Linked DNA regions of Xenopus tropicalis. The protein of the gene in region 1 interacts with the protein of each later gene in a biochemical or structural test. Links are inferred from orthologs where the notes say so. Each region holds a gene or a part of one and is shown on either strand. Other genes may lie near its edges.

Region 1 (2,842 bases):
TCTGTGCACTTGTAATCAAATGATCTATCTTGCAAGGACCACACATGGATTAGCTTCAGCCCTGATAGCTTAAGATATAACAAAAAACTGATTTTTAGTATTAAAACATTAGGCAAAAAGTATGCTCAGCCCAAGCCCTATTCACTGCACTTATGTTGAAAAATGGGGTTTTACTGTCTCTTTAATAAACCAGTATTTTTACATTCTATACAGTCTACCAGAATGCCAATGGTAACAGAGTTTAAAAAAATGTCTCATAAAGATGAAAAATAGCAGGCCAGGCAGCAGTTTTGGGTGCAGTAATATAGAGGGATCCTGTAGGGATGCACCAAATGCAACATTTTAGGATCCCTGAATCCTTTGTGAGAGATTCAGCCAAATGCTGAACTGAATCCGAATGTGCAACTTCTGTGTTGATTTGAAAAAAGTCACGATTTTAAGGTTAAGATTGAGACCCAGGCAGCAATACCTGGAAGGGCAGTCTCATTACAGAGCACTCATTATATCATTCTACTCTAAATGCTGTTACCCTCAGTTTCGACCTCAACTACAACTGTGCCCCAACTCTACTCCTATGTATCAAGTGACAGCGCCTACGACTGTCATACTTGCCAGGGAAAAAAAACTCAAAGACTTAAAAACCAGACACTGTTTTTCTTGTAAAAATACTCAGTTTAATATTTGATTTAAATTCTTTCTATTATACAAGAACAAGTTTACACATTTAAAGGGATACTGACACTCTTATGAAATTTCTGCTGTGCCATTCTCTGGACCTAATGTCCTGACCTCCTTAACTGATAGGCTGCAGCCACTAAAGAGCACTAGAAGTGGGCACCTAACAGCTCTCCTCTATGGCAGGGCACAGCAGTACAGCTTCAGCTTGTTGGGCTTGGAAGTTCAGGCTGCCCTAGCCCTGGAAAAGAGAGCAATTTTGAAATTTGCCATCACTAATAGTATCAGGTCCTTTCAATGGAAGTGCAGTCATTTTAAAATATTGTCATTATCTCTTAAAACAAGAAAAGACATTTAGTGAGTGCTTTTTAAATTAGAAATGTCCAACATGCGTTCCTCAACTAATACCATGGCAAACAGGCTGGGGGAGGGATGCTCAGTAACTGCTGGGGACTGGCTCTCCCATCTAAATTACATCTTATAAGGCATAGCTTATCTAAGACACAGCGAGGTTTGAAAAATCTTTTCATCATCATACCGAAACTTTCATGAATTAAAATAAAATTCTATATGGCAGCTAATTGGTTCAGTTAGAAAACTTTATACAAAAAATATAAAATTAGAAGTTTATAAAACTGTTCATTATATATACACATATAAAACCTTTTACTAATATAAATAACTATATATTACATTTCTTTTCACTACAATGGACTATAAATATGTAAAATGGTGTTTGTGTCTCCTTTCATCTCTGCTGAATGAATGTATTAAAACTAAATCAGCCTCAGAATGTAAGGCATTTCTGTCACTGGATTGTTTTGCTAGCCTTGATACATAATGATGTAGGAACTACCTGGTAACCCTATGCTTTCTAGAAAAGTGAAACAAAATAATGTTAATACTGTTATAATGTCCTGTAATTAAATAACATATTCATTTTACAGCTTTGATATAATGACTGTTGATATAGCTTTGATATAATGGCAGGTTTATCATCTATTCTACATTATAATAAATATTCCCCAAAACACCAGATCATCATATAAAATGATGGAGTATATATGCTACATTTTAACAACAAATTAACCACTGTTCATCTGTTTCATTTCAGCCTAGGGACAATATTTCATTATTCTATGATACAAGTTGTGTAAAAGAAAGGAGTCAAATAATTAAGGCAAATGGTAAAAAATTGCTATTGCTCATGTGTTTGTATGTAGCACACAAGTTACACTTGTTATCATCACTCTCCAGTATCCAGGAACTATACCAATCCATAACTGGTATTCTAAAATGACTGGTAGTCAATACACTGTAAGTCTCTCTTACAAAACATGACCTAATATGAAGCCATGATAACACCATATAACATTATTGACTTTGATTTTCTTGTCTTCAAGACAGAACTGTAGTAGAAATAGTGCAGCAGCAACTCAGTTTTTCACAGCTCAAGATTTGATATTTCCAAGATTAGTTCAAGGGCATGACTTGCATTAAACACTGTACTGAAGGGGAATCAGGAGTCTTAATATTTTTATCAGTTACTCTTTCAGTCTCCCATAATGCAATAGCAGACATTTGGTGTCCATACAAGAATCATGGCTTCAGAAGATCCATACTCTGCCCTCAAAATTATATAAAAATATATTCTTTGTTTAAGGCATTGTCATTTGGAATCTATTCCTTATTGCTGGGTAGATCCAAAGAAGCATACATTTGTCCTTAATATCTTCTGGCCTCTTGCTGGAAGGAGTTGAAGAAATACAATATTAAGAGTAGTGCACAGGAAGACTAGTTTGTTTGTAGCTCCTAGGAAAGCTTCTTAAATTGAAAGGCACCAGCCTGCCTCCATGTTTAAACATCTGTGCTTAACTGGAGAACCGTTTCATGTCGAATGATGTCCGTATGGCAAGTGTCTGATGAAGAATTTCTCTGGAGTAGTTGTGTCTTTTCATTAGAATCTGTAGCTGCCTCCGTGTCATCAGAATGGTACCCCGACTGGCAATCACTAGTTTGGTTCGAAGACTCTGATGTTACGGATTCCTTGCTTTTACTCTGCTTCAAAATGCTAAAAAATATAATTGCGAGAAATTATACTAAAGTCACCTTGTCATTGATCTCCTCCCTGGCTTATAATTTTACAATAGATGGTACATTATTTATT
Region 2 (4,464 bases), about 65 Mb from region 1:
AGCCTCAAATATGGATTGATTGCATCTCAGTGGGATCAAGTATAAGGTACTATTTTATTATTATTATAGAATTAAAAAACTGAATTATATGATTACAATGGAGTCTATGGGAGAAGGCCTTCCAGTAATTAAGAGCTTTCTGGATAATGAGTTTCTTTATAACAGATCCCATACCAGTACAATAAGGTATGGAATACTGCCATGGGAAAACATATTTTTTTCAAAACGCATAAGTTAATAGAGCTTCTCCAGCAGAATCCTGCATTAAAAATCCTTTTTTCACAACACAAACATATTTTTTTATATTTAATTTTGAGATTTCACATGGGGCTAGCCATATTCTTTATTTCCCAGGGTGCTACAGCCATGTGACCTGTGCTCTGATAAACTTCAGTCACACTTTACTGCTGAGCTGCAAGTTGGAGTGATATCACCCCCCCCCCCAGCAGCCGATCAGCAGAACAATGGGATGGTAGCAAGATAGCAGCTCCCAGTAGATATCAGAATAGCACTCAATAGTAAAAAATCCAAGTTTGGCTTTGGACTCCTCCAGTTACTTGGGAGTAGGAGAAACAATAGGTTACCTGAAAGCAGTTCTAATGTGTAGCACTGGCTCTTTCTGAAAGCTCAGACTCAGGCACAATGAACTGAGATGGTTGCCTACACACCAATATTACAAGTAAAAAAAAATACATTTCTTGGTTCAAGAATAAAATTTTAAATGGTAGAGTGAATTATTTGGTATGTAAACAGTGTAATTTAGAAATAAAAAGTATACCATGAAAATCATGACGGTATCCCTTTAACTTTAAGTTAAAGTAGAAATGAAACTTAAAAATATACAATGTATTAACAACTTTCATACAAAGAGGGTATAGTTGTATATAACTTCTAAATAAAAATAGGGTATATTTGTATATCATTTCTAAATGAATCAGTTTCAAAACAAAACAAAATGTAAAAAAAATCCAGATATGCAGCTTTCTGTGAAAGGTAACTCTTTTGAATACACAGGCATGAGTTAATGTGCATCTAAGTTCATCTAATACTTACATCGTTTTGCTCATTGGACAGTAAGCTATATAAGCATCCTTTGCCACAAGTGTCTGTGGTACAGAATATTTCAGAGTAATGTGAATCAGACACAAGGAAAATGACATACATTGCAGTCCTAGTTTTACTTTGGATATCAGTGCACTCTGGGTCATTTTATAACATCACCATTAAAATAGCACTCGCTGTGGACCCTTATGGAGAGTGCTGGGGGGATGGTACCACAGCAGGTTCTGCTGACCTGAGCTGGGATGTTGTGTGTGGTGGGGGAGAAGGAGTAATATGAGAATGACATCATCTTGTGAGAGTGGATCCTCCCAAGGGAGAAGGGAAGAGAAGGAGGAGGGAAAGTGAGAGAGAAGGAAAGATTTAGAGAGGAGAGCAATCACTCTAAAAGCTCTGGATGGATCCCAGCACACGGCATGCTGGCTGAATCCAGGTATGACCGATTTCGCAACGACTCCATAACTTCGGCAGAGGAGCAACTAGCACTGTCAGCCGAGGCCATGAGTGGACAGGTGGCCCCTAGTTCTCCGACAGGAGCATCTGCCTTAGGCCAGCCTTTTGCAGAGCCGCAGTACCCAGAGGAGCAGGATGTGGCTACCACCTTCTGTATGATGATACCCAGGATGGGACAATGGAAATTCTCCAGCCCCACTGCCTTCCTGAGTCGTTCCCCCTCTGGAGGCAATAAGGAACTGACCGTTGACAAGTCTGGGACAGGAGGGGGATTAGGATCAGTGTTTGGAGCCTGTGACCCTGTATGCTCCACACCTTGTACTCTGCAGGTGATAAACCGGTTGCGAGGGGGTGGTAGTGGGGGAGCGCGAAAATCTGCACGGACAGAAGCATATAAAGTCCAAGGGGAGGAATGGAACCGTAAAGGGACATTTATTAACAAACCAGCTCAAGGCTGGCTGCACCCTGACGACCGACTGCAAGGCCCTGGCGTTTCCTATATTGTAAGGGTAAGTGGTCTTAGATGCAAGTAATTTATTTATATACTTTTTTATTTCCTGTTATTTATGTAGCGCCAACTCATTTCTGCAGTGCTTTACAGACATTATACAAAATTCACATCCGTCCCTGCGGATGAATTTACAATCTAAAGTCCCAATCACATTCACACACATATTATTATTAATTTAGTTAGAAGCCAGTCAACCTGCCTGTATGTTTTTGGAGTGTGGGAGGAAGCTGGAGTACCCAGAAGAAACCCACGCAGATATGGGGAGAACATACAGGTACAAACTCCTTACAGATAGTGCCCTAACTGGGATTGAACTCAGGACCCCAGCGCTGCAAGGCAGAAGTGCTACGTAATGATCATGATTTACTATATGATGAATTCCTCTTTGAAAGATTCCAAACGCATTAATCTAAAAAAACAAAAAGTGCTGTTCTTGAAAGAGCTTCCTGTTAGCTTTATAAGATCTAAGGGTATTTTGAAATATTGCTTTAAATCTGAGAAGAATATGTATAAACGGGTCATAGCCTTTCAATAACCAGATATAACTTCTCTCCTAAAAAGGCCCACAGGTTGCAGAGTGATACGCCCTAATGGTTTAATGTCTTTAGAGAACAGTGCTGGCGAGAGATGTTGTATTCTGCTTTCTGATTGACCCACTCTTCCATTCCTTGATTAGATTGGTAGAAATGCTGATGCAATGTTTTCTTCTTTGTTTTGCCTTTCATTGATTGGCTAAAGACTCCTTTGTTTTGAAAAGCCAAGGGTAGGGCTGCTGTCATACTGGAAGCTGTCATCAAAAACAGCTGTAGTATGAGCTCACAGACACAGCACACTAACAAAGTTGATACATCCAGCTGACCTATCTGTGATAGTGTCTGCCCGATAGGAACATAAAAACTCCTCTCTGTGCTTAAGTTTTTAAGGAAGGGGTTTCTCCTTTTTTGAACAAAAAATAATCACTGTATTAATGCACTTGATTAAGCCCTGCATGTAAAAGATAGATTTGTAGAGCTGTATTCAGTATTTAAACATAGTATGTGTGAGTTGTTTTGATTGGATGTCATAAATGATCTAGTATTTTAGATATGCAAGAAAATGCAGCTTTGTTCTACTCTATACCCTGCAAGAGTACATGGCATAAATTAGAAATGAAAAGTATAAGCAGATAAAAGCCATTGGTTTCAATATTTCAACACTTTTGCTGTGTAATGCAATTACCTAATTGTCTCTTTTACTGTCCTTTACTATTAGGTGCCAGCAGTTCTCACTGAAAGACAAATGATATAAAAACATATAAAAATAAATAAATAAAAAATACGGTCAAATCTCTGACATTTTCATAAGCACTAATTTAGGTGGAAATATGTAAACATCATTTTTATTTATACTTATTTACATTTTATTGAATTTATCACTAACCATATTTTTTATATTTTAGTTTTATAGTTTTTTAACAAATTAAAAGTTGTTCATGATAGATAGATAGATAGATAGATACATACATACATAGAGCGTAGGCTGAAATGTATAAAATAGATACAAAGATAGATAGAATGATAGATGATAGATAGATAGATAGATAGATAGATAGATAGATAGCATGTAGAGTGTAGGCATGAAATGTATAAAATAGATACAAAGATAGATAGAATGATAGATGATAGATAGATAGAGAGATAGATAGATAGATAGATAGATAGATAGATAGATAGATGTGGAGTGTAGGCATCAATGTACAATCATGTACAGCAGTGCAAACCAATAACTAGTGCAGAGTCAGTGCTGTTAGCCAAACAATAGTGGGCCAGTTATCCAAAATACCTGGGCTGTGGAGCAACATCCAGGAGATTGGTGAGCAACATGTTGCTCACGAGCCACTGACTGGGGATGCTGGTCTAGGTAATAAAAAAAGGTGTTCCTTATATAAATGTAAGGAATAGAATGTGATGTTTCAGTATATAATACACTCTTACTTCATCTACATATGTGCACTGGTGAATTCACACGTGTATAAAACACAAGACCTGTGAATAAGCTGTTTCTAAACAGTGCTTATCGATATCTTCAGTTATAATATGTGATCAATAATATCACTATCACTAGTATTGCACATTATATTGGGGGGAAGGATACCTAGAATTGTGTGGCAAAAACTCACCATGTCTTTCAAAGATTGTGGACTGGGACTTCCAATCTATATTTATACTACTTAACTTTCCTACTTCATTATGTTGGATGGTGGTTTGACCTGGACCTGTACAATCCCAAAACAACATTGCAGGTGTTGACAGGTGGATCACTAGAGAGACTCAGACAACACCCATATAGGGCAATTTCTAACCTCCCAAGGTTCCCTGCAGTGACAGTGCCCCTGTTGAAAGCATGGGTACATGCACTTCATCATTTACTAAAGTGTTCTGTATTAACTCTTTATTCTCCCA

The links.
Region 2: the proteins of kdr (region 1) and shc2 form a complex in vitro, tested with the Homo sapiens proteins (2 studies listed by BioGRID). The link is inferred for Xenopus tropicalis from reciprocal best matches to the Homo sapiens genes KDR and SHC2.

What each region holds. Positions count from the first base shown.
Region 1 is NC_030677.2:40,279,724-40,282,565, forward strand, and holds the end of kdr (vascular endothelial growth factor receptor 2), read right to left. Parts: intron 2,747-2,842; coding exon 2,533-2,746; 3' UTR 652-2,532; downstream 1-651. UniProt on the Homo sapiens protein: Tyrosine-protein kinase that acts as a cell-surface receptor for VEGFA, VEGFC and VEGFD. Plays an essential role in the regulation of angiogenesis, vascular development, vascular permeability, and embryonic hematopoiesis.
Region 2 is NC_030677.2:105,548,313-105,552,776, reverse strand, and holds the start of shc2 (SHC-transforming protein 2), read left to right. Parts: upstream 1-1,412; 5' UTR 1,413-1,475; coding exon 1,476-2,021; intron 2,022-4,464. UniProt on the Homo sapiens protein: Signaling adapter that couples activated growth factor receptors to signaling pathway in neurons. Involved in the signal transduction pathways of neurotrophin-activated Trk receptors in cortical neurons.